Callithrix jacchus: one gene and its partners. The protein of the gene in region 1 purifies or fractionates together with the protein of each later gene. This does not show direct contact. Links are inferred from orthologs where the notes say so. Each region holds a gene or a part of one and is shown in the gene's direction. Other genes may lie near its edges. The genes, in order: CBX3, CHAMP1, CCDC71L, ZNF644, POGZ, CHAF1A and MGA.

Region 1 (3,500 bases):
CTGCTTCAGTCTCCTGAGTAGCTGTGATTACAGGCGCCCATCCCCAGCCCAGCTAATTTTTGTGGTTTTTTTTTTTAGTTGAGACAAGGTTTCACCATGTTGAGCATGCTGGTCTCAATCCCCTAACCTCATGATCCAGTTACCCCAGCGTCCCTAAAATTACTAACTTCATCACACCTAGTTCTGTAAAGGTTTTTTTGAACCAGAGCACGAAGTTGGCAAGCCGGTTGTTGGTGTAGGGTGATCTTACTTTCACGTCTATTAATTGATACTCATTTTCTTTTTTACAGCAGTTCTAAAAAATCCATAGAAATAGTCATCTCAGCCTTACATTGTATCAGGGGTCAGCAACCTTTCCCCCTAAAGTGTCATGTAGTAATTATTTTCTGCTTTTCGGGCCACAGGTCTCTTGTCTCTACATCTCTGCTCATCTAAACGGATGAGTGTGGATGTGTTCCAATGGTACTTCATTTGTGGGCACTAAAATTCAAATTACGTATAATTTAGTTTGAAATATTTTTCCAACCATTTAAAAACGTAAAAATATTTTTAGTTTGCAAACCATACAAAAGACTGGATTTAGCTTTTGGTTTACCAGCCCACTCTATACCATTTCCCAATTTGAACACCCAGCAAAAATTGAAAATGTCTAATGCTTCAGAATCATTATGTCTTAAAACATGGCATTGGAGGTCCCAACCCTAGACATGATATGACATACTAATTTGGGGTGGGAATTGGGAATTTACATTTGTTCAGCCGTTTGAATTATTCTGTTACAGTAAAGTTTACTTCACTTGGAAGTAAAATAGCAGATTTCTCTCAAAAGACTTGTCGGGCCTGGGTGCAGTGGCTAACACCTGTAATTCTGGCACTTTGGGAGTCCAGGGCTGGAGGATTACATGAGACCAGGAATTTAAGACCAGCTGCGAGAGACCCCTTCTCTTTTTTTTTTTTTTAAGTGTTTTAAGTTAGCTGGGTATGGTGGTGCATGCCTGTAGTCCCAGCTACTGGGCGAGTGGGGAGTGGGAGCTGAGGCAGGGGATTGCTTGACCCAGGAGTTGGGAATCTTCAGTGAGCTGATCGCATCACCGCACTCAAGTCTGGGCAACAAAGCAAGACCCTGTCTCCGGGGTCGGGAGAAATAAAATGTAGGGAAGGAGGAAATGATTAGTATCTGCAGTACAGAGGACTTTTTATTTCCCCAGGTGTCTATTAAAATGGATCTGGGTAATGGGGATGAATCATGTTTAATTGAATTTTTTTTTTAACAGTGCTGACAATACTTGGGAACCTGAAGAAAATTTAGATTGTCCAGAGTTGATTGAAGCATTTCTTAATTCTCAAAAAGCTGGCAAAGAAAAAGATGGTACAAAAAGAAAATCTTTATCTGACAGTGAATCTGATGACAGCAAATCAAAGAAGAAAAGAGATGCTGTAAGTATACAGTATTGCCTAGCAGCCTGTCCGTTTGTAAAAGGTTGATGGCTTGATTGATTGATTTTGAGACAGTCTCACTCTGTTGCCCAGGCTGGAGTGCAGTGGCGCAGTCTTGGCTCACTACAACCTCCCCGTCCAGTGCAAACTCCTGACCTCAGGTGATCCATCAGCCTCGCAAAGTGCTGGGATTATAGGCGTGAGCCACTGTGCCCGCCTGATGGTTTGGTTTTTTAAAAACTCAGGCTGGGCACAGTGGCTCAAGCCTGTAATCCCAACACTTTGGGAGGCCAAGGCGGGTGGATCACCAGCCTGACCAACATGGTGAAACTTCATCTCTACTAAAAGTACAAAAATTAGCCAGGTGTGGTGGCACATGCCTGTAATCCCAGCTACTCAGGAGGCTGAGGCAGGAGAATCGCTTGAACCCAGCAGGTGTAGGTTGCAGGGAGCTGAGATTGTGCCACTGCACTCCAGCCTGGGCGACAGAGTGAGACTCTGTCTCAAAAAAAAAAATCTCAACTACTTTTCTAAAAGGCCTCTTAATTCTACTTTAAATATTTTAATACTTAGGGCAATAAGAATAGGTGTGGTTTAGTCTACATTATGTAAATGTGCAGTAAGTGCTTATACCACTTGGGCAGTTTTTCTTAGTTTCATGGAGTTGATCACTGATCCAACCAATCACCCGTGATCCAAGGCTAGCAATCTTTAGTACAAACAATACTAAGATTGGATTATTGAAAGCCATTGTATTACAGTAAGAACAATGTAAAGAGAACTTTCTGATTATAGTTCATTAATGGCATTGACCATCAAAAAGTACTTGTGTGTCATCTTAGTATTGCCAAACAATGCACTGATTTTGAAGTATATAATCTTCGATAATAAAAACTGTTACACATATTCTTGGCATGAAATGAGCTATTTAGTTCCTTCAGTATACATATGCTTTGGTCCAATCTTTGCTTCACTTATATCTCTGTGGCTTCAGAAAGTCAAGTAACCTCTTACTTCTACCCTTGACTGTAAAACTAGATTATACTTGTCTTGCCTACTGACCTAGTATGGCAATTTGGGGAGATATCTTTGTGCTGAATTAGATTCTAGGCTCTGGCACTAAACAGACAATACATATTAATTGGTAAGGACTTGGGATTTGAAACTTGATCATTTGAAGTAGAAGCCAAGAAGTCTTACCTTCATGACAACTCATTGTGTATAAGGTCATAGGTATAGTCACTATTTTATGGATGAAGAAATGAGATTGACTATATATTTGGTTCTGAAAGTAAATCATGTGCTCAACAGAAGCACAGTTTTGGCCAGGCACAGTGGCTCGCACCTGTAATCCCAGCACCTTGGGAAACCAAGGCAGGAACATTGCTTGAGCCCAGGAGTTGGAGGACAGTTTGGATAACATAGTAAGACCCCGTCTCTACAAAGAAAAAAATATATCAGTCAGACGTGGTGGATGCCTAGTAGTCTTAGCTACTTGGAAGGCTGTGGCAGAAGTATTGCTTGAGCCTAGGAGATCAAGGTGCAGTGAGCTGTGATCATACCAGTGCACTTTGGCCTGGGCAACAAAGCAAGACCTTGTTACAAAAAATTATTAGATAATCGAGCACAACTTTAACAATACTTTTTGAACTGTTACCATTTGCCATACTGTGTTCCAAATCATTTGCATTTCATGTGCTGTGAAATACCTATGCAGTAGATACTAAAATTCTATTTTATTAACCTTACCACAAAGAGGTTAATTAACTTGCCCAAAGCCACACAGCTCATGAGCAGGGTAGGTCTGTCATTCTCACCCAGGCAGTGTGACGCCAGAGCCTGTCACATTGATATAAAACTCTGATGGGGCGGGGCGTGGTGGTAGCTCACACCTGAAATCCCAGCACTTTGGGAGGCCAAGACATACAGATCATCTGAGGTTGGGAATTCGACACCAGCCTGACAAACATGGAGAAACCCTGTCTCTGTTAAAAATAAAAAATTAGCCGGGTATGGTGGCACATACCTGTAATCCCAGCTACTTGGGAGGCTGAGGCAGGAGA
Region 2 (3,928 bases), on another chromosome or scaffold:
GAGTTAACATGTGATGCATAGTTTGTTTTTCAAGATGAAAGACTTACAGAGATGGATGGTGGTGTTATGAATACACTTACTACCACTGAACTGTACACATAGAGATAGTTAAGACAGTAAATGCTATGGTTTTTGTTTTTATTTATTTATTTGAGACAGACTCTCGTTCCGCCGCCCAGGCTGGAGTGCAGTGGCGTGATCTCGCTGCAACCTCCGCCTCCCAGGTTCTAAGGGATTCTCCTGCCTCAGCCTTCCGAGTAGCTGGGATTACAGGTATGTGCCACCACGCCTGGCTAATTGTGTATTATTAGTAGAGACGGGGTTCACCACGTTGGCCACACTGGCCTCGAACTCCTGACCTCAGGTGATCCACCCGCCTTGGCCTCCCAGAGTGCTGGGATTACAAGCCTGAGCCACAGTGCCAGACCATTCTGTAGTTTATTTTAACCACAATAATAATAAAAAGTAAAACTTCAGAAGGGTTCAAATGTAGAGAGCATCGAGCTAATTTCACCGTGTTTCAAAGCATACAGACTGATGGCGTCAGCATTAGAGGTGCATGCATTTTAATTAGAATTGCGGTGGTAATATTCATAAGACTGAAGATAACTTCTGGGGATCGGACTTTCACTGGAGGAGAGGTGATGAGAAGAAATATTGGCATCCAAGAACTATGTTGATTTGTTTGTATTTTTGTCATAGGCATTATGCCAGAAGTATCCCTGACAATGTATGGGGCAGGTCCAGCTCTTTTTTTCCTAATAAATTCATTTCTACAACAATCAAAAAGGCAAGAAGAGGAAGCGATATCGGCAGGGCGGCGGCAGCCCCGGACCATTCCAAGGTCCCGGCGGGAGGCCAGAAGCCAGACGCAGCTGAACCCTCGCGGAGCCGACCCGGGCGCGCGCGGGAAGCGGAGGCGGAGTGGGCACGTGCGGCACTTCCGGGGCGTGGCGGGGCGGGCGCGCGGCACTTCCGAAGGCCCGCGCGAGTCGCTAGTTTTGCCCACGCACTTGTGGCACTGCCGCGCCACGCGATCGGCAATCTGATTGGTCCGCGCCGGAGGGCGCGCGGCGCCAAACTTGCTTCCCGTCAGCCCCCGCCCGTGCCGCGGGCACGCGCACGCTCGCGCACCCGGATCCTGGCTCCTTCGTCCAGTCGCCATTCGGGAGGCCGCTGCGCTGCGGGGCCTGGCTGAGCCGCCCGCGACCGCGAGCCGGGCCCTCCGGGTCGTCCTTCGCCCACTGGACGCCGCCAGCGGCCCGACCGGTGAGGAGCGGAGCGAGCGGGGAGGGCGTGGCTGGGGCCTGCATCTCCGAGCCCTGTGTCGGCCGCCGACTTGGCAGGGCCGCTCCGGGAGGAAGCCGCTTGTCCGAGTGAAGGGGGCCTGCGCCGCCTCGCCCCCTACGCGGCCGCGGGAAGGGCCCGCCCCCGGAGTCCGGGCGGGAGTGCGTCTTTGTGCCGGGAGCGGTGAGGCCCGGTGTCACTCGCGGCCGAGGCAGGAAACACTGCATGTGAAATCATTGGGAAGTTGGGGGCAGCACGGCACGCAAGCCATTCTTTCCGCTTTAGTCCTAGGCTGCCTCCTCCTCTGTCATTATTACTGTTTAAAAATCCGCTATACAGCCTCCAAAACGGCAGAGGAGAATGGTGAAGGGTTAATGTCTGGAATACAAGAAGAGATGCAGCTGACCAACAAAAAGCAACCAGCTTAAGAATGGGCAAGGAATTTGGATAGATATTTCTCCAGAGAAGATAGACAGATGGCCAGTAAGCACGTGCAAAGATGCTCAGCACCACTAGCCATTAAGAAAATGCAGATGAAAGCCGCAGTGAGATACTACCTCATACCTGTTAGGATGGCTACTAACAAAAAATGGGAAATTATGAGTGTTGGGGATGTGGAGAAATTGAAGCTCGGGTGCACTGCTGGTGGGAATGTAGCGTGGTACAACAGCTATGGGAATTGGTGTGGTTCCTCAGTTCTACAAGATTTGTACCCAAAAAAATTGACAGCAGGGACTCAGTTACTTGTTCACAAATGTTCATGGCAGCATTATTCACAATCCAGATGTCTATCAACAGGTGAATGAAAGACAAGCTGTGGTATATTACATGTAATGGACTATTGTTCATCCTGAGGAATGACATTCTGATAGATGCTACAATATAAACGAGCCTCGAACACATTATATTGAATGAAATAAGACACAAAAAGACTAATACTGCATGATTCCCCCTCTGACACAGAAAGATTAGACATTACCAGCACTGAAAATGCAGAGTGGGAGTTAGTGTTTTATGAGTACAGAGTTTCTGTTTGTGGTTAAGTGATTCTGGACGTAGATAGTGGTGATGTTTGCACTACATTTTAGAACTAAACTAAATTGTGATTTTAAAAATGATTCAATGGCAAGTGATTTTTTTTTTTTTTTGGACGGAGTTTTGCTCTTGTTGCCCAGGCTGGAGGGCAGTGGCGCGACCTCAGCTCACTGCACCCTCCACTTCAGCCTCCCGAGTAGCTGGTATTACATGCGCCCGCCACCACGCCGAGCTAATTGTTTGTAATTTTAGTAGAGACTTGGTTTCACCATGTTGGTCAGGCTGGTCTTGAACTCCTGACCTCAGGTAATCCACCCTCCTTGGCCTCCCAAAGTGGCAAAATTACAAACATGAGCCACCGTGCCCAGCCTAAATGGCAAGTTTTATGTTCTATTTACCATCCTTTAAAAAATACACATGAGAAATCAAAACTACTGAGTTAGTAAAAAGATGAGTGGTTGCCAGGAGCACAGGAAGATGCTAAGCAATGAAATAATTTTGTGTGACTACCCTAGCAGTGGATACATGATGCTATGTATTTGTCAAAACCCATAGAACTGCACATCACAGAAAGTGACTCCTTGGTCGTAGTGGTTCACATCTGTAATCCCAGCACTTTTGGAGGCCAAGGTGGACAGATCATGAGGTCAGGAGATCAAGACCATCCTGACAAACATGGTGAAACCCATCTCTACTAAAAATACAAAAATTAGCTGGGCATGGTGGCAAGTGCCTGTAGTCCTACCTCCTTGGGAGGCTGAGGCAGGAAATCGCTTGAACCCAGGAGGCGGAGGTTGCAGTGAGCAGAGATAGCGCCACTGCACACCAGCCTGGTGGACAGAGCAAGACTCCGTCAAAAAAAAAAAACAAAAAGTGACTCCTTGTGTAAACTATAGACTTAATAAATCAATGTTAGTTCATCATTGTAGCAAATGTCTCACACTAACAAAAGATGTTAATACTAGTTGAGTGTCCTTTATTCGAAACCAGAAGTGCTTTGGATCTCCCCTCTCCCCTCTCCCTTCTCCCCACTTTCAGATTTTGGAATAGTTGGCTTGTACTGTTTGAGTGCCAAAATGCTCCTTTTGGCACTTCTAAAGTTTTGGATTTTGGAGCATGTCTGGTTTCAGATTTTCAGATTAGGGATGCTCTCTGTAGTAGGAGAAACTGGGGGCTAGGGAGTTGGTGGAAGGAGGTATATGGGAATTCTTGTATGTTTTTGTTTAAACATAAAACTGCTTGAAAAATTCATTTCTTCCTTTTTTTTTTTTTTAATTCTTATGGAGATGGAGTCTTACTCTGTTGCCCAGCTGGAGTGCAATGGTGCAGTCTTGGCTCACTGCAACCTCCGTCTCCTGGGTTCAAGCAATTCTCCTGCTTTAGCCAATCCCAAGTAGCTGGGATTATAAGTGTGCACCATTATGCTCAGCTAATTTATATTTTTAGTAGAGACAGGGTTTCACCATGTTGGCCAGTCTGGTCACAAGCTCCTGTCCTCAAATGATCCACCCATCTCAGCCTCCCAAAGTGTTGGGATTACAGGCATGAGCCACCGCGCCTGGCCAGTTGATCCAGTTTTTAAAGGCTGGGCATGGTGGCTCCTGTA
Region 3 (4,122 bases), about 45 Mb from region 1:
ATATAAAATTGTCCTGTTCTAAGCCATTTCTGACTCCATTTGGGATAAGCAGTGGTTTTCATTGATTCATGCAACAAACATATTGAGTACCCACTACCTGACAGGAATTGAGTTAGGTATAGAGGACAGAAAGATGACTAAAGAATGTCCACAAAAAAAAAAAAAAAAAAAAAAAAGAATGTCCACAACTCTCCTCTCAATACAAAAGGTAATGTGTTCTTAACAATGTTTTTCAACAAAAACTTATCACTGATCCATGCAGCAAACACATTGAGTACCCACTACCTGACAGGAATTGAGTTAGGTATAGAGGACAGAAAGATGACTAAAGAATGTCCACAACTCTCCTCTCAATACAAAAGGTAATGTGTTCTTAACAATGTTTTTCAACAAAAACTTATCTATTGTTTGCAATGATGCATCCTTTCTAAATGATAGGGATGGCTCTGATATTTTAAAACTAAATGAAGAATGAACTGGCACTCTTAAAGAGCTGTGTATTTAAAACTATGTATATTACACAGAATGGCTTTATTGCAATTGATCTTTGATCAATTTGAGCAGAGTGTTTAGTTTTATAGGGTATGAGATGCTTTGCTTTCTGGATAAGCAGAGTCTGTCTTAAATATGAAGATGGCTCCACTGTCCAGAGGGAGACTCCAGTCTCTCAGCTGCCACCCACGCACATTAGCTGAATGATTCTGGATTACTACTGGCTTCTTGAGAAGGACTGGGGTCAAGACAGAAGAGTTTTGAATGAAGATGCCAGAAGAGGCCTTTGAGAGGGTGAATGGGAATCGTGAAAGGCCCATTTCCCCTAGACTTAAACCCAAATTCCCTATCCGTGATACCAGCAACATCCTTTAGGCAAATCTCCCTTTGTTATTCACACTGGTAGAGCTCCCAGCTCAATCCACAACTGCACACCACCTCACTCTGAGAGTCTCTCTTCCCAAGGTGGAGCCAACATTCACCCTCTTACTCTAGACATGGCAACGCTCCTAGAACCACCCAACCATTGACTTACGTTCAAAGGCCATCACCATCACCCACCCCAGCACCATCTTCCAGGAACTGGCCTTTCCCTCATCAGTCCCCGCCCCTCTTCTGAGAGCACCCAATGGGTGGAGTCGGGGCTGTGGTGGGAGGGGCCTGAGGCGGGCACATTTAAAGAAAGGCAGCCGGTGAAAAGAGGCAAGAGAGGAGAAGAAAGAGAAACTAGGGGGGGTGAGGCGCCGTCCAATGACAAAGCCCAGGGGTGGGCGCTGGCCGCCATCTTGTACCGGGCGGCAGGATATTCGCCCGCGTCCTCCGCCCTCAGAGGGGGAGGGGCGGCGGCAGAGGCGAGAAAAGTAGCTACAGACGCCAGCAGCGGCCACCGCCGCGGAGCCGACGCGGAGTGGGACGGCAGCGGCGGCAGCGGGACCCGGCGAGTACGAGCGGCCTTGGATGCGTCGCAGCATGAAGAGGCGGCGGCGCCGTGCCCCGGTCGCCCCAGCTGCGGCCGCCCGGGGCGGTGGCTTTAGGGCAGAAGACGGGGCCGGGCTGGAGGCGCAGGAGGAGAAGGTGGTGTACTCGCGGTCGCAACTGTCGCTGGCTGACAGCACCAAGGCGCTGGGCGACGCCTTCAAGATCTTCATGCCCCGCAGCACGGAGTTCATGAGCTCGGACGCGGAGCTCTGGAGCTTCCTCTGCAGCCTCAAGCACCAGTTCTCTCCGCACATCCTGCGCAGCAAGGACGTCTACGGCTACTCCTCCTGCCGGGCCCTGGTGCCCGACCCCCCGTTACCCCCCACCGCCCGCAGCCAGGCGCGCCGGCCGGCACCGCGCGCCATGGCCAAGAGGAGGCGCCGCGGAGCCCGGGCGACTGCCGCCCGCAGGAGAAAGCCCCAGCCACCTCCCGCGCCGCTGCTGGCCCCGGAGGAGAGCTGCCGGGACAAGCCTGTGGCCCCCGGGCCCTGCTTCGGGGGCCGCACCCTGGAGGAGATCTGGAGGGCTGCTACCCCGACGCTGACCACCTTTCCCACCATCCGCGTCGGCAGCGACGTGTGGGGTGAGCGCAGCCTGGCGGCGGCGCGGCGCAGAGCACGCCAGATCCTGCAAGTGAATCTGGAACCCATGGTGAGGCTCCGCCGCTTCCCGGTGCCCCGAGCGTGAGGCGCGGCCCCCGTAGCGCCTCCTGCCGGCTCCGATCGGCGGAATTGACAGAGCTTCCTCCCGGAGGAATGGACAAGTGTCAGTCGAGTGTTTACAGATCCGGCCAGGACCCCGGCCCCCAGTGCACTTTATGCACGAAGAAGTCACCGGATGGTTGTCCCTGCCCTGCGCCCCCGGGCCGTGGCGCCGTCGTCTTGGACTCCGGGGCAAGTGTGGCCTCTGCTGCCCCCATCACCCGGCCTGCAGACGGAGGGGACAGCCGGACCCATAGGGGAGGTCCCTTCCTGACCCCAGATTGAGACGTCTCCAGGACCTTAGGGGCAGATCCGTTTTCTCCCTGTTGGACTCTACCTCACTGGTCTGGAAGTCCTCCGAAGAAGACATTATTTTTCCAAAGGAATTTGGTTTTGTGCTTGTGTAATAAAGCCAGAATTTACTTGCTCTTTATTCCCCCCTTTTTTTCACTGCCACCCCTCTTTCTGGACAGAAGTTCGAACATGTGGTGTTGCACTAGTTTGTGCTCAGGGTATTCTGAAGCCCACTCGTTTCCTAATTTTTACTGGATTCCAAAGCTTTGATGGAGGATATTTTTTAAGAGGTTCAAGCTTGTGAATGTTAGTAGTGCAAGGATTTGGATGGGCTCAGTGATTACAAACAAAGACATGCAAAATATAACTTTAAACATTTTCAAGGTGTTTCTAAAGGTTTTATATATTGAAACTTAATGTTTATATTTACTGAGCTCCTAAAAATGGTAGAATACACGTGAAAACTTTTGTTTAGGAAAAATTAACTTGTTAAATTCTCTTGAATTGAATAAAAAAAATGCATTGAAACCATATGGCGTGTGATTAAAAAAATGAGTGAATTGTGAAGAACTGGCTTTGGTTGCAGGAGTGACTGGAATCTGACTGGAGATCATTTGGCCCCTCTCCTGGTCTAACATACAAATCCAGGAATATTATGCATTAAAGTATGTATTTTGAAATACATTACGAGGAAAATGTATTTTAAAATGGGACTTGCATAGGAGAGATGCCTGTGTGTAAACATTATGACTAAAATGATATACAGAATACCCATTTGAGTTCTGAGAACTATTAATGAAGAGGGGTGGAGGCATTTCTTGGTATCAAATAACTGGTTGAGGTTACTTTGGGCAAAATCTATTTCCTTTTTTTTGTTGTTGTTGGATAACAAGAAATGTCTAGACTAATATTCACTTTTACAAACATCATGAATATTAGTTGACTTTAAGTTGACTTTTTGGTCACATCATTTTTTTAACCTTCTTGCCACTCATGTCTCCAGTTCTAGGTCTTTGACAGCTGAAGACCACAGGAATTAAACAGGCGAGCCACACAGGCTACTGACCCTGCTTTACGCTTTTATAGTGTTTATACCATATAGCCCAGTGTGGAATTCTTGATTATCCAAGTGCCTTTGGTCATTTGTGGCAGGAAGACTTAATAGTTTTTAACCAGTGGTGCCACAGCCAACTTTTACTGCAATACCTAAAGGGTCAAGTAGTGTTTTTGTACCACTATTATTTGAAATTTAAATATTCTGCCATAAAACGATCCATACTGGGCTGGAACTTGACATGTGAAATCCTTAATACTAAAGTTTATCTCTGCTTGGCAGCTTCTTAGGACAATAATGAGAGTTGCAATTTTAACTCTTGTGTTCCTAGAATTCAAATGGCATAGCTTTCTGAAATGAATATTTCAAGTTTAGTAGTCCATATAGGAGTGTTGTGACTTTAATTTCAGTATTCTTGTTTTGTTAAAAGAATATATACACACACACACACACACATATATATAACTTTATGCCAGTTTTCTAGTAAGCCTCGGTCTTTTATTCACTACTCAATGATAATGCATTGTTACAAACACTGTCACATGAGTAAACAAAAATGAATAATTCTTTAGAAGATAGAGAATGTTAAATCATATTTGTGAT
Region 4 (3,500 bases), on another chromosome or scaffold:
ATGATGCAAAATGAAGAAAAATATGAAAAAATCTTAAAGGCATTGAACAGTCGTCGTATTATTCCCAGACCATTTGTAGCTCAAAAACTTGCGTCAAGTGATGACTTTATATCTCAAAATGTTATACCTCTTGAAGCATACCGAAATGGCCTAAAGACTGAAGCTCTGTCAGTGTCTGCATCAGAAGAAGAAGGGCTGAATTTCTTAAATGAATATGATGAAACAAAACCAGAACTGCCCAGTGGAAAAAAGAATCAGTCTCTTACACTCATAGAACTTCTTAAAAATAAAAGGATGGGAGAAGAAAGGAATTCTTCTATTTCTCCTCAAAAGATCCATAATCAGACAGCAAGAAAGAGATTCGTTCAGAAATGCGTTCTTCCATTAAATGAAGATAGTCCGTTGATGTATCAGCCACAAAAAATGGACTTGACTATGCACTCAGGTAAGAGGACGTTTATGACTATCCTATACACAGTTTAAATGCATTCAATTATGCTTTCTTTAATGGAATATATGTGGAAAATACTTTCTCACAATCTTCTTGCTTAAGCTGCTTTTTTTTTTACAGAGCACAGATTGGTTATTCTGTCATTTCTGTATAACTCATCAGTTGAGGTTCCTTAGCACTGAGTTCTCTGTGCCTCTTTTCTTGGTCTGAATGTAAGGTGAGAACAAAAGCAAAAGAAAACCACACACATACACATACAAAAACAACAAACAAAAAGCTGATCTGTAAAAATAAAATTTGCTGTGGCTGGAGGATGATTGCGAATGGGAGGTTGGTGTTCGAAAGCACAGTGTTATTGAAAAGGCATACCTCTGTCGTATTTTTGCCAGTGCTCCAAGGTGATCATGTTTTCAAGATTTAGCTGTTGGTTTTTCCACTGCTTAGTTGAAACAAAACAGACTCTTAAAGCTGAGTGGATTGGTATCTGTTGTGATTAACCTAAAGAAGCATCTCCTTTCTCCAATTCCTTATTGTATTGTGGGATAGTTTGGTTTTGGAGAACAGTTGTGAACATAAAACATATTTGTTTGGGGTTTTAGGTTTTAAAATAGTGCTCTAATGGAACAGAACAGATGATTTGGCTTAGTACTTGTATACCAATAGTTTTTCCTTTGGGAAGGAATATTTTGTGTGTATTGGCAAATAATGTGGCAGATAAAGTAGCCAAACTTTATTCATTATTGCCAAGTCTGGTTTATACTTTTAGATTAGAAAAATTTTAAGTGTCTTTTCTAGATTCCTTTTTGAAGATTAAGAATGTTAAAGGTTTATGTAATTGGTCTCATTAGAGATGTAAGTTGAATGTGTCTGAGGTAATAGTAAATGGATTAATAATGAATAAAATGACTGTAATGTTGTTTATTTGCTTTGGGGTAGACATTGTCATATCCCAAATAGTTGTAATGCAATTTTGATTTAAGGAAAGATTACTTTGTATTGTAAGTGGTCTGGAAAACAATTTATCTTACATGAGGTTCTGTTTAATACAGCTTTTTCTTTTGAATAAAGAGTCTCTGAAAGTCATTAGCTTTCAGTATTCTTTCAGAAGGATAAAACGCAGGGATGATGTGTTAGCTGTGTTGACCAAGGCGTAGTATACTTCAGAGATGGAAAGCATATTTGTGGCTGTCACAGTAATGCTGAAGAAATCAATTGAAACGTGTTGGGGGAGTGAGGATTGTTTGAGAAGTGAGGAGTTTTTTATTGTTGAACATGTTTTCTTTCCTGTGATGACTAAGATGTTAGCTTGTTGATCATTTATTTAGCACAAAGATTTTAGCAAAAAACTTCAGATCATTAACTTTCATTATTGATTGCGCATTCAGAGTAATGAACATAAAATACCCTGGATAAAATGTTGTGTCTAACAGCTGTTCAGTGGTGTGTTTTACCACCTTTTCTCCCAGCCTTCATCAGAAAACCTAATTTAGTATTGAGACTTTTACGGTTTTGTGGGTAAAACACTTTAATTACCACTTTGTCAACTAGACTTTTAAATTCTTTTTATTGGTAATGTTGTAAGCTTTGAAACTTCTCAACAGAACCATGGTGTTCAAATCACAGGATTGCATTTTCGTAGGTTTAAGAAATAATCTGCGTAACACAGAAATCTGCAAGAAAGTGATAATAGGTGTTATATCCAGAGGAGCTCAAAGGTTTAAGTCACTCCTCTTCTACCTTTCCAAAGAGCATGAGATAGCTGTAAATACTAACTACAAACTAATAACAGTTAATTTCCCCGCCTTATTTTACGTTAATCTATTTCATTGAACGTTTTTAAAACCATCTTTATTGTGGTGCTTTTCTACACTCTTTAAGCTAAGAAAATTTCACTTCTTGAAGTGAGAACTGGATTATAGTTTTCTTTTGAATGATAGGTATGCCTGTGAAGCTTAGAACATGTGTGCATTGCAATACGACGTTTACAAGTGCTGTTAGCCTGTCCAACCACTTACGCGCTTATGCACGAAAGAAGAGTGCTGGACTTTTGACTGGTACAGGTATGTTTGAACAGATATCACAGCAAGTCTGTTTGATACAATACACTTTTTTTTCCCCACCAAACTGGTGTTAATTCAGATCATATTTATAACTTTCTTTGGTAAGCTGCAGTTGTCTGAATACATTTCTGAATAAATTTCAGCAACTTGTAAACTGTTAGATATAATTCTAAGCACGTTAATCTTTTTCCTTTGGCTCTTGTTGACTTAATTTGGGGAAAAAAAATTAACCCAAGAGATGTGAAATTTTGAGTCTACCTTAATCCCATTTCTTTTTTAGAATTATACTATTTTTGATTTTTAAATTTATTTTAGATTACAGAAAAACACCTCTCTTTATAGTTCTAGTCAGGCACAGTGGTGTGCCTTTATAGTCCCAACTACTCATGAGGCTCGCAGGAGGATCACTTCAGCTCAAGAGTTAGAGGCTGTAATGTGCTGTGATTGTGCCTGTGAATAGCCACTGTACCCTAGCCTGGGCAACATAGCATAAAAAGATTGTAGTTCTAGCTTGGGGAAATCCTTTATTAGAAAAGGAAATTATAGGGAAATTCCAAAATGTAGACTTGATAAGAAACCTAAGCAAACTAATGAATTTTCATTAGTCTGTAGATTAGATCTTTGAAGGGGCAAGCCTTAATAATGGCTTGTATTGACAGGTGAATAGATTTTTAATACCTCTTAAATATATTAAAGATTAATAAATTTAGCTATGCACATAAGTGTTAACATGCAAATTTCTGTGTTATTTTTGGTTGGTTAGCCCAACCTTGCAGATACCTCTTAATGCTGCTCATCTGTGAAAATTTTATTAGCTTACTTATATGTAATATGCTTCTTATAACCTGCAAAATGCTTTGCACTTCATTTGTAGTCTTTTAAGCTATACTGCTTTAGCAAATCTCATTTCCCTCACATCTTAAAATATACCCTCTTTTTGACATAGATCTACATAAATTCTTTTGCCTAAAATTCTCTTTCCAATCTTT
Region 5 (4,256 bases), on another chromosome or scaffold:
GATTAGTGATTCTTCTCAAATAATGAAGTCCTTCTTAAGCATCCCGCACTAGTGGAAATCACTCACATGGTTTTGGTATGAAATGGAATGAAGCTGGGTGATGGCAATGTGAGTGTGTGTGTGTGCGCGCGCGCGCAAACGTGCACGTGCACACACACACACACACACACGCAGATGCATACAATTTGGAATGCCTACTTCCACTGCCTATTTTCACAGTCCGTGGTTTGGAGTATGTATATAAAGAGAACGAACAAATATAGTTCTGTATCTCCCCTTTCTGCACCAAGTGCCTTGATTTTACATTTGGAGCACATATTTGTGTACTGCTTAAAGAGCAAACATTTTCAAATATTCAAGGAAAATATTAAATTTTTATCATCTCAGAAGGCAACGAAGGACAACATTTCTTAGCTATATGAGAAGCGGTTAGTTTATTCTGGGGAAGAATAAACAGTTGGATGACCACGAGTGGACTCGCCAATTTCTTTGAGCCAACCCATCTCAGCCTTGACTGGAGCAAAAAGCTTATGGATGTGGATTGTGCGTGGTTTCTTAGAACTGGGGATCTCTGCTGAATCCACTACAATGGGAGCAAAGCAGTTTCCCTCACAATAATTGCCTTGGTTAACAATTGTGTGCCACTTCTTTCCAAGATCCAGATGGCCTTGAGAGTCAAAATGGCTTTTAAAAGTTCTTCACTTAAACAAGGCCACAGCCACAAGGCTACTTGGCCGTGTCTCTTGAGGAAGAGTGAGTGCCATTTCATTCTTTGTTCCAATGACAGTTGTTGGTGCCACTGGGCCTCACCACCTGGCCTGTGTCATGAAGTCCCCTCTTGACTGGGTCTAAGCCTTGAGTGGCAATGGGGAGCCTCCCAACACTTCCTTGGGAAGTCTAGGCAAGTATATTGGAGATTATTTTCTTTGGGAGCCTCATTTTTCTCGCCAAAATTTAGATAGAGCTTCTGAAGTTAATTGTTCTTTTTTCATTATAAAAAATGTTTTTATTTATTTATTTGCAGGCCCAGCCAAACTTGACTAGAAAAGAAGCCCGGGCAGGGGTTTGGATGAGCCCATGACGTATTGCGCGCTCCGACCAATTGGGAGGCCGTGAAAGGGGGAGGGCGGAAGTGACGAGCCGTATCACTCCGCGGGGCGAGAGGGTCGGTGGGGGGAGTCGGCGTCTCTCTCCCCCGCGCCAGCTCCCGTACACGGAGCCGCATTCCTTGGCCCCCCCACCCCCCTCCCTCGGGGCCCCCCCGCCCCCCTCGGGAAAAAAATCCACCCCAAATCACTCGAACCCGAGGGAGGCTTCCTTTCACCCTTGGGGAGACGAGCTTTCAACGGTTCCCTCTTCGTCTCCCCCCAAGCCCCCGTCCCCTCCCCTGCTCCCACCCCCTTCTCCCGGCGCCGGGTGCAAGGTCCCTTTAAGGCGACGGCGCCTTCCTCGGGTCAGACTACCGGCGGCGACGACCACGGGAGGTGAGTGAGCAAGCGAGCCTTCTCTCTCCCCACCCCCTGCTCCCGGGGGTTCCGTTATCTTTTCGCTCGGCGAAGCGTTCGGAGGCCAGACAATGAGAGGGGGATGGGCCGGTACGCGCGGGGGTGGGGGCGGGGGGCCGGCGGCGCGCGCCCCCGCCCACCGCCAGCGGCGGCGCGGTCCGCGGCAGGGGCGGCCGTGGGGTGCGACGCGCGAGCGCGAGTGTGTGTGCGTGCGCCCCGGGCCGCGAGAGCCGCGCGAAGGGCCGGCGGCGGAGGCCCCTGCCTGCCGGCTGGCCAGCCGCCCCCGCCCCCCGGCGCCCGCCGTGGCGCGCGCGCGCGCACTCGCGCCCCACGGCCCCGCACACAGCCCGACGTCCACACGCACGCCAGGCGCGAGGCGTCTCGGAGGAGTGGGCGGCGCGGGCGCGGCTGGCGGCCCGCGGCCCGCTGGGGAAGGGGCGGGGGCGCGGGCGGCGGCGAGACGGCGGAGCGCGGCGGGAGGGGCGGGCGAGGGGGCGAGGCCGCGCGGCGGAGGGGGCGGGCGGCGGCGGAGCGGCCCCTGGGGATGGGGGTGCGCGCCCCTTCCCGCCCTGCCCCCGCTCCGAGAGGGAGTGGGACGCTCATTTTGAGCGGGAGGAGGAAAATGAGTGATTGCTGAGCCCATCCCTTGTGTTATGTAATCTCTGCTTGGTCTAATAGTACATCCTAAGCTTTAGTGCACTGTAGCTAGTTTACGAAGTCTCCTCCCTGGGCCCCCAAATTTCTTTCGGGATGGCGCCGTGATTTATAAAATGAGATGGGGCGGGGAATCTTTATTTTCTGGTGATTATGTCCTGCCGCGGTGGGCGCCATGTTTATCCCGGGGACTATTTTCTCTAGATTCTTGGCACCTTTTGCAGAGGAGTACTGTCATTGATCCACTTGCTTTACCTCTTTCTGCGTGTTGTTCTGATTTCCTTCCTCTGCAGTTGTGGGATTCCCTCAAACTACCAGTAGTACTGAACGTTTCTCGGCTTACTTGTGTTAGACATTCTTAGTTCAGAGAAAGGTAGTGAGTGCTGAAGAGTCCTCAGAGTCATTTGGTGGCCAGTCTCATTTTCCAAATGGAAATTAAGATACAGTTTTACCATCTCAGAGTAGCTGCTGTTTTGGTGCAGGGGGTAGCCGGTCCCTCCATGCTCGTAGACACATCTCACCACAGCTCAAAACTCCACACAAATGGGGTTTTGCTTTTTTTTTTTTTTAAACGGAGTTTCACTCTTGTCGCCCAGGCTGGAGTGCAGTTGCTCGATCTCTGCCCACTGCACTCTCCGCCTCCCGGGTTCAAGTGATTCTCCTGCCTGAGCCTCCCAAGTAGCTGGAATTACAGGCATGTGCCACCACGCCCGGCTAGTTTTTGTATTTTTAGTAGAGACAGGGTTTCACCACGTAGGCCGGGCTGGTCTCGAACTCCTGACCTCAGGTGATCCACCCGCCTTGGCCTCCCAAAGTTCTGGGATTACAAGCGTGACCCACTGCGCCTGGCTGGGATTTTACTTCTATAGTAGTTTACCCTACTAGATGAAAGGGAAACAGCGGGGGCAGGATGAATTTCGAGACCTCGTTGCTCAGGGTCTGAGAGCTTGAACTCTGAATTTGAACTGTTAGCACACTCGTTCTCAAGTTCGGGGTGCATAAAAAGTACCTTGAACATTGTTAAATGTACAGATTGGAGGGGCCTCATCCCCCAAGTTTATTTGAATGGGGCAGAGTGGGGAATGTCATCTCTACATTTTAAAATGAGTAGTCGTACAGTGGAGGCTGATTAACCGCTACTTTGAGAATTACTGGTCTAACATAAAAGTGTTCAAAATGTTGAAACAATTAAAAGACACCTGTGCCCTTGATTTCCTTCCCTTTTCCAGAGCTACGTTGGTGGAGTATGTCAAACTAAAGGAGGTAACAGAATAGACTCGGGACGAATGTGATTTTGTTAGAGTTTCCACTCCCATCTTGAACTAGTGGTATAATCTAGGAAAGCAGTTCTCAAAATGTGGACAGACGACCCGTGGTGATCTCCTCGTACGCTTTCAGGGGAGCCTCAAGGTCATAACTATTTTTAAAATGATAGTAAGATGATTTTTTTTCAGACACACTGATGGTTCAAAAGCAATGCTGGATAAAACTCTTGGTAGTACCTTAGCACAAAGCAAGTCAGTGGCACCAAACTACATAGTTGAGAATGCCCTTGAAGCAGTAAAGATTATTATTATTTTATTTTATTCAATCTCCACTCACTGCAACCTCTGCCTACCGGGTGGTATTTTTTGTTTTTTTGTTTTTTTGTTTTTTTAAGACGGCGTTTAGGCCGGGCGCGGTGGCTCACGCCTGTAATCCCAGCACTTTGGGAGGCCGAGGCAAGTGGATCACGAGGTCAAGAGATCGAGACCATCCTGGTCAACATGGTGAAACCCCGTCTCTACTAAAAATACAAAAAATTAGCTGGGCATAGTGGCGCGTGCCTGTAATCCCAGCTACTCAGGAGGCTGAGGCAGGAGAATTGCCTGAACCCAGGAGGCGGAGGTTGCGGTGAGCCGAGATCGCGCCATCGCACTCCAGCCTGGGTAACAAGAGCGAAACTCCATCTCAATTAAAAAAAAAAAAAAAGACGGCGTTTCACCATATTGGTCAGGCTGGTCTCTAACTCTTGGCTTCAGGTGATCTACCCACCTCGGCCTCCCAAAGTGCTGGGATTACAAGTATGAGCTACCGTGCCTGGCCTACTATTATTAA
Region 6 (3,500 bases), on another chromosome or scaffold:
TATATATTCTAGTCGCAGGAAGAGTTTCATTGTCTATTTGTCGTTTTTATTGTGAAGGCCTACGTTATAGCTTTATAGTAACGTGGAAGTAACATATTCGTTGCTGCAAAGTTAAATACTTGCCATTTACTAACAGCTGCGTACCGTGGTCCCTTCCAGAACGTAGCAAAGAGTCAGCTGAAATGTCATTTGCTGTCTCACAGGGCCAAACTTGAGGAGAAAAGGAAAAAGGAAGAAGAGAAACGGTTAAGAGAGGAGGAGAAGGTAGCGTGTTTCCTTCAGAACTTCCCCATCCCAGCCCGTTGAAGCAGATGCACAAGGTGGAATTCTAGCCACAGCTGTCGTCTTAACGTTCTCTTGGTTTGAGGAAACCAAATGGCGCCCCCAGGAGGGACGAATCTCTAGATGCATCCTTTCGCTTCTTCTCAGTGCTGGTCTGTCACACGCCTACTGGCCCCATACCCTGGCACTTCCACCCACAAGGGCAACTCGGACATTTTGAGACTGGCTGGCATGGTTGCGGGTCTGTGGGTTTTGAGAGCTAAAAAAATCACAGCAGAGCCTTTGAGATAACATGCTTGAGTTTTGGTGCTGGGGGACATTTGCATGTTTTGAAGCGTGCACCGTGTCTTTTCCGCTCTTCTTTCTCATCATTTTCTCTTACATCACAGCGTATTAAAGCAGAGAAGGCTGAAATCACCAGGTTCTTCCAGAAACCAAAGACTCCACAGGCCCCCAAGGTGAGCAGCCGGCTGCCTTTGCTTTCCAGTTTCGGCTGTTTTCTCTCTGAAATTGAAAGGATCTGGCACCAGCCAGCTTCTCTGATCATGAGGCACGGAGCCTCTGGTAAGCCAGGAAAGTTCGTTTTGGTAAACTCTTGAGGCTCAATATTTTGTCTTCGCTTTGACCCAAAAAAGGTAAAAAGTGGCGTGTCTGATTAAAAAGTGCTGTTTTCAGAGGCTGCTTCTGAGTAATTTTGTGTTAGGCGTTAAGAGAAGTTAACCATGTTTTTACCCTTGGGAAACTTAGGCTTGAGGGGCAAACATAGCCGCAAAACAGTAGAATTCACAAAGATTTACTTTCCCCACCTGGCGTTGGTCACCTGACAGCTCAGACCTTCTGAGCCACCATCTGTGCGTGGAAACCACAGCCCTCCGTCCCTTTTACCCAGAGGGAGCCTGTCTCCGATGTTAGCGGGCCTTCAGTGCCTTTCCCTGCTCCACTCACTGTCTGTTCATACATGTGTGTACTTAGCTGTCTCGGGTATGTGTCATATTGCCATATTTAGGTGGATTTCATTCTTTTTAATGTATCTATCTGCCGTTTATTTATTTATTTTTGAGACCGGGTCACACACTGTCACTTAGGCTGGAGTGCAGCGTCACAGTCAGAGCTCACTACAGTCTTGACCTCTCAGGCTCAGGTGATCCTCCCACCTCAGCCTTCGGAGTAGCTGGGACTACAGGCATATGCCACCACACCTGGCTAATTTTTTTTTTTTTTTTGAGACAGAGTCTCACTCTCGCCTAGGCTGGAGTGCAGTGGCGCAGTCTTGGCTCCCTGGGGTCAGGTGAATCTCCTGCCTTAGCCTCCTGAGTAGCTGGAATTACAGGTGCTCACCACCACGCACAGCTAATTTTTGTATTTGTAGAAGAGACAGCGTTTTCCCATGTTGGCCAGTGTGGTCTCAAACTCCTGACCTCAAGTGATCTGCCCACCTCAGCCTCCCAAAGTGCTGGGATTATGGGCATGAGCCACTGCGCCCGGCCTAATTTCTAAATTTTTTTGTACAGACGGGATTTTGCTGTGTTGCCCAGGCTAGTCTTGACCTTCTGGCCTCAAAAGCTTCTCCTAGCCTTGGCCTCTCAAAGTGCTTGGATTGCAGGCGTGAGCCCCTGCTCCTGGCCTATCCTTTTATTTGTATCTCAAAATACTTCACAATTGCATATCTTGAAGGTGCACAACATGACATTGTTGTGCCTACACGTTCCGTAGTGACAAACACAGACCCACGTCATTTCTTTCTCTTTTATTAAAAAAACATATGGACTGCTCCACGAATTTTTGTGTCATCCTTGTGCAGGGGCCGTGCTCATCTTCTCTGTATCGTTCCGATTTTAGTCTATGTGCTGCTGAAGCGAGCACTGTTTTTGTTTGTTCGTTTGTTTTGAGATGGAGTTTTGCTCTTGTTGCCCAGGCTGGAGTGCAGTGGCGTGATCTCAGCTCATCACAACCTCCACCTCCCAGTTTCAAGTGGTTCTCTTGCCTCAGCCTCCCGAGTAGCTGGGATTACAGGCATGTGCCACCACGCCCGGCTGATTTTGTATTTTTAGTTCAGACAGGGTTTCTCCATTTTGATGAGGCTGGTCTCGAACTCCCAACTGCAGATGATTTGCCTGCCTCGGCCTCCCAAAGTGTTGGGATTACAAGCGTGAGCCACTGCGCCTGACCATGTCATTTATTTTCACTGTTGGATAATACTTAATAATGCAATGATATCATGGTTTCTCTCTCTCTCTTTTTTATTTTTATTTTTGAGATGGAGTTTCGCTCTTGTTACCCAGGCTGGAGTGCAATGGCGCGATCTCGGCTCACCGCAACCTCCGCCTCCTGGGTTCAGGCAATTCTCCTGCCTCAACCTCCTGAGTAGCTGGGATTACAGGCACCTGCCACCATGCCCAGCTAATTTTTGTATTTTTAGTAGAGATGGGGTTTCACCATGTTGACCAGGATGGTCTTGATCTCTTGACCTCGTGATCCACCTGCCTTGGCCTCCCAAAGTGCTGGGATTACAGGCTTGAGCCACCGCGCCCGGCCTAAAATTTTATTTATTCATTTGTTTATTTTTTTTTTAAGACGGAATCTTGCTCTGTCACCCAGGTTGGAGTGCTGTGGCTCGATCTTAGCTCACTGCAATCTCCACCTCCCGGGTTTAAGCAGTTCTCCTGCCTTGGCCTTCTTAGTAGCTGGGATTACAGGCACCTGCCACCGTGTCTCACTAATTTTTTATATTTTCAGTAGACACGGTTTTCACCAATTTGGCCAGGTTGATCTCGAACTCCTGACGTGAGATAATGTGCTCACCTCAGCCTCCCTAATTTTATTTGTAGTAGAGATGGGGTCTAACTGTGTTGCCAGGGCTGGTCTTGAACTCCTGGCCTCAGCAGTTCTCTCACCTTAGCCACCCACTGTGCTGGGCTCACAGGCATGAGCCACAGAGCCTGCCGCTATCTCAGCTTCTCTGCCCCTCAGTGGCACAGTAGGGGTTCCTGAGTATGCTTCTCTGCACACATGCGTCCTCTGGGACAGCCAACCTCTAGGACAAAACAGCACATTGCTGAAACGTTGTTAGCCATGGCCAGAGTGCCCGCCAGACAGGAAAACTCAGGTGTACGTGCCTGGCAGTGCCTGACAATGTCTCTTCCTGATTCTGTGATATTAATGGATGGAATGAATTTTAACTTTGCCAGTCTGATGGATTAAAAAAAATTGATATTCTT
Region 7 (3,500 bases), on another chromosome or scaffold:
TGCCTGTTAAGCTAAAATCTTTGTTTCATTTGTTTGATTTTTTTCTCTTGAGTAGCAAGCTTTTGAAGTTTTATGTATTAATGTTAAATAAGCTCACCAATTTGAATAGTAATGTTAGACCAGTTTTATTTATGCTTACTATTATCTCTCTGATCTAAAAAAAGAAATCTAGATTACTTGTACTGTTTTTTCCTATGTCTTTAGTATTTCTTTTAAATATCTCTTCTAATCAGTAAAGGGCATCTGTAAGTACTGTTAATGGTTTGAAATCTCTATTAATTCACATCTTCTGCATTAAATTTCTGCTATAAAGCTATTTTAAAAGCATCTTTTGCCTCTTTTTTTTTTTTTTTAAGATGAAGTCTTGCCCTTGTTGTCCAGGCTGGAGTGCAGTGATGTGATTTCAGCTCACTGAAACTTCCGCCTCCTGAGTTCAAGCAATTCTCCTGCCTTAGCCTCCCGAATAGCTTGGATTACAGAACCCTGCCACCACTCCCAGCGAATTTTTATATTTTTAGTAGAGATGGGGTTTCATCATATTGGCCAGGCTGGTCTCGAACTCCTGACCTCAGGTGATCCACCCGCCTTGGCCTCCCAAAGTGCTGGGATTACAGGCATGAGCCACCTGGCCTTTTTGCCTTTCTAAGCCAGGTTTATTTCCCTGCTTCTATGATGTGTGTTAATTTTATTACATTTTGAGGGCTTTATGTCATTTTTCTCTTCTGAAAAGTAATTCCCACAAACCTTTAAGCTTTGCTTATTAGTGAATTTTAAAAACCAAGAAGCCCTTTATAAACCAAGAATTTTTTGTTCTTTGTCTTCCTCAGGTAGTATAAGCTTAGAAATTCAGTCATATTTCTAGTAAGTGTTATGAGCCTTAAAGTTAAATTGTGCAGGATATGGATTTTATTTAAAAAAATAAAGAGGCCAGGCATGGTGGCTCATACCTATGATCCCAACACTTTAGGAGGCTGAGGCAGGAGGATCGCTTGAGCCCCAGGAGTTGAAGACCAGCCTGGGCAATACAGCACACTCCTTCTCTCTAAAACAAAACAAAACAAACAAAAATTTGCATCTGTGGTCCCAGCTCCTTTGGCTGAGCCTGGGAGTTTGAGGCAGCAGTGAGCTCTGGTACCACTGCACTCCAGCTGGGGCGGCAGAGTGAGATCCTTTCTAAAAAAATTTTAAAAATAGGCCGGGCGCGGTAGCTCACGCCTGTAATCCCAGCACTTCAGGAGGCCAAGGTGGGTGGATCACGAGATCAACAGATCAAGACCATCCTGGCCAACATGGTGAAACCCCGTCTCTACTAAAAATACAAAAATTAGCTGGGTATGGTGGTGTGTGTCTGTAATCCCAGCTACTCAGGAGGCTGAGGCAGGAGAATTGCTTGAACCCAGGAGGCAGAGGTTGCAGTGAGTCGAGATTGCGCCACTGCACTCCAGCCTGGCGCCTGGGGACAGAGCAAGACTCTGTCTCAAAAATAAATAAATAAATAAATAAAATAAAATTGAAGAATAATTTTATCATAAAGGATCTCTTTAACAGAAATCCAAATTTAGAGGGATACCCATGTTTTTATTTAGGCAGAAGTATTATCTCTTTAAATGTGCCTCTTGACAATTGATACTCTATTTTTTACCATTCTAAGTGTAAAGCTCCATAATGTCTGGTTGTTCTCAGCCATAAATAATGTATTAATGAAAGTACAGAATTTCAGCAACTTTATATTTCAGATTAGAAGTTATTTTGCAGCAAGGTCAGATTCTGTGCCTTAATAGTTTTTTTGTTTGTTTATTTGACTGGGCATGGTGAACTCATGACTGCAGTCCCAGCATTTTGGAAGGCCAGGAGTTCGAGACTAGCTTGAGCAATAAAGCAAGACTCTGACTCTACAAAGAATAACATAATTAGCCAGGTGTAGTGACAGGTTCTGGTAGTCCCAGCTACTTGGAAGGTTGAGGCGGGAGTTAGAGACTGCAACAAACTATGATTGAGCCCTTGCACTGAAGCTGGGGTGACAAGTGAGACCCTGTCTCTTAAAAAAAAAAAAAAAATAGGCCAGGTGTGGTGGCTCATGCCTGTAATCCCAGCACTTTGAAGGGCAGAGGCAGGTGGATCACAAGGTCAGGAGTTAAAGACCAGCCTGGCCAAGATGGTGAAACCCCATCTCTACTAAAAATATAAAAATTAGCTGGGCATGGTGATGGGCACCTGTAATCCCAGCTACATGGGAGACTGAGGCAGGAGAATCACTGGAAACCCAGAAGGTGGAGGTTGCAGTGAGCCAAAATCGCCTCACTGCACTCCAGCCTGGGCGACAGAGTGAGATTCTGTCTCAAAAAAAAAAAAAAAAAAAAAAAAAAGCTGTGTGCAGTGGCTCATGCCTGTAATCCCCAGCACCTTGGGAGGCCAAGGAGGGCAGATCACTGGTGGTCAGGGGTTTGAGACCAGCCTGGCCAGCATGGTGAAACCCTGTCTCTGCCCCAAAATACAGAAATAAGCCAGGTGTGGTAGTGTGCACCTGTAGTCGCAGCTACTCAGGATGCTTAGGTGGGAGAATCACTTGAACCAGGGAGGCGTGGAGGCTGCAGTCAGTCGAGATTGTGCCATTGCACTCTAGCCTGAGCAACAGAGCAAGACTGTGTCTCAAAAAAATTTAAAAATTATAAATACTTTTTTTTCGTACATGTGTTAAAGGGGAGTTTTCGTACTATGTTTCCATTTCCTGTTTTTCAGAAAATGCTGCTCAAATTCCAGTGGCTACTCCACAGGTCTCTTCTAACACAGTGAAGCGTGCTGGACCTCGATTATTGTTGATTCCAGTGCAGCAGGGTTCTCCTTCTCTTAGACCTGTCTCAAACACACAACTTCAGGGACATCGGATGGTCTTACAGCCTGTTAGGAGTCCAAGTGGAATGAACCTATTCAGGCACCCTAATGGGCAAATTGTCCAGCTTCTACCTTTGCATCAGCTTCGAGGCTCTAATACTCAGCCCAACTTACAGCCTGTCATGTTTCGGAACCCAGGTATAAACTTCTTTCTTACTAACTTTTCTTTTGTTGCATCAGTTGGCCATATGGTATGTTAATACACCAGGATAGTTTTTCTTCCTTTCTTAGAGTTGCTTTTCCAAAAAGAAAAGCAAGCATTGGAAGTCTTGATATAGGCAGTCATGATTTAAAAATTTCTCTCTTATTTTTTAAACTAGGGTCTGTGATGGGAATCCGGTTACCTGCTCCTTCCAAACCCTCTGAGACTCCACCGTCTTCCACTTCATCCTCTGCTTTCTCTGTCATGAATCCTGTAATCCAAGCTGTTGGATCTTCAGCAGTAAATGTTATCACTCAGGCACCATCATTGCTTTCCTCTGGAGCTAGTTTTGTGTCTCAGGCTGGTACATTGACCCTGAGGATTTCTGCTCCTGAACCACAAAGCTTTGCAAGTAAAACAGGCTCTGAAACCAAAATAACCTATAGCTCAGGAGGACAGCCTGTTG

What was found.
Region 2: the proteins of CBX3 (region 1) and CHAMP1 purify together in Homo sapiens (affinity purification with mass spectrometry; 6 studies listed by BioGRID and IntAct, with this or other methods). This does not show direct contact. The link is inferred for Callithrix jacchus from reciprocal best matches to the Homo sapiens genes CBX3 and CHAMP1.
Region 3: the proteins of CBX3 (region 1) and CCDC71L purify together in Homo sapiens (affinity purification with mass spectrometry; 3 studies listed by BioGRID and IntAct, with this or other methods). This does not show direct contact. The link is inferred for Callithrix jacchus from reciprocal best matches to the Homo sapiens genes CBX3 and CCDC71L.
Region 4: the proteins of CBX3 (region 1) and ZNF644 purify together in Homo sapiens (affinity purification with mass spectrometry; 3 studies listed by BioGRID and IntAct, with this or other methods). This does not show direct contact. The link is inferred for Callithrix jacchus from reciprocal best matches to the Homo sapiens genes CBX3 and ZNF644.
Region 5: the proteins of CBX3 (region 1) and POGZ purify together in Homo sapiens (affinity purification with mass spectrometry; 7 studies listed by BioGRID and IntAct, with this or other methods). This does not show direct contact. The link is inferred for Callithrix jacchus from reciprocal best matches to the Homo sapiens genes CBX3 and POGZ.
Region 6: the proteins of CBX3 (region 1) and CHAF1A purify together in Homo sapiens (affinity purification with mass spectrometry; 5 studies listed by BioGRID and IntAct, with this or other methods). This does not show direct contact. The link is inferred for Callithrix jacchus from reciprocal best matches to the Homo sapiens genes CBX3 and CHAF1A.
Region 7: the proteins of CBX3 (region 1) and MGA purify together in Homo sapiens (affinity purification with mass spectrometry; 4 studies listed by BioGRID and IntAct, with this or other methods). This does not show direct contact. The link is inferred for Callithrix jacchus from reciprocal best matches to the Homo sapiens genes CBX3 and MGA.

The regions. Positions count from the first base shown.
Region 1 is NC_133512.1:31,891,691-31,895,190, reverse strand, and holds part of CBX3 (chromobox protein homolog 3), read left to right. Parts: intron 1-1,274; coding exon 1,275-1,437; intron 1,438-3,500.
Region 2 is NC_133502.1:29,685,923-29,689,850, forward strand, and holds the start of CHAMP1 (chromosome alignment-maintaining phosphoprotein 1), read left to right. Parts: upstream 1-1,128; 5' UTR 1,129-1,269; intron 1,270-3,928. UniProt on the Homo sapiens protein: Required for proper alignment of chromosomes at metaphase and their accurate segregation during mitosis. Involved in the maintenance of spindle microtubules attachment to the kinetochore during sister chromatid biorientation.
Region 3 is NC_133512.1:77,109,766-77,113,887, reverse strand, and holds the start of CCDC71L (coiled-coil domain-containing protein 71L), read left to right. Parts: upstream 1-1,322; 5' UTR 1,323-1,449; coding exon 1,450-2,157; 3' UTR 2,158-4,122.
Region 4 is NC_133508.1:128,468,519-128,472,018, reverse strand, and holds part of ZNF644 (zinc finger protein 644), read left to right. Parts: coding exon 1-445; intron 446-571; exon of another isoform or gene 572-668; intron 669-2,388; coding exon 2,389-2,511; intron 2,512-3,500.
Region 5 is NC_133519.1:11,361,835-11,366,090, reverse strand, and holds the start of POGZ (pogo transposable element with ZNF domain), read left to right. Parts: upstream 1-1,456; 5' UTR 1,457-1,587; coding exon 1,588-1,595; intron 1,596-3,238; exon of another isoform or gene 3,239-3,422; intron 3,423-4,256. UniProt on the Homo sapiens protein: Plays a role in mitotic cell cycle progression and is involved in kinetochore assembly and mitotic sister chromatid cohesion.
Region 6 is NC_133523.1:4,174,629-4,178,128, forward strand, and holds part of CHAF1A (chromatin assembly factor 1 subunit A), read left to right. Parts: intron 1-203; coding exon 204-264; intron 265-671; coding exon 672-740; intron 741-2,038; exon of another isoform or gene 2,039-2,145; intron 2,146-3,500. UniProt on the Homo sapiens protein: Acts as a component of the histone chaperone complex chromatin assembly factor 1 (CAF-1), which assembles histone octamers onto DNA during replication and repair.
Region 7 is NC_133509.1:44,854,819-44,858,318, reverse strand, and holds part of MGA (MAX gene-associated protein), read left to right. Parts: intron 1-2,739; coding exon 2,740-3,030; intron 3,031-3,212; coding exon 3,213-3,500. UniProt on the Homo sapiens protein: Functions as a dual-specificity transcription factor, regulating the expression of both MAX-network and T-box family target genes. Functions as a repressor or an activator.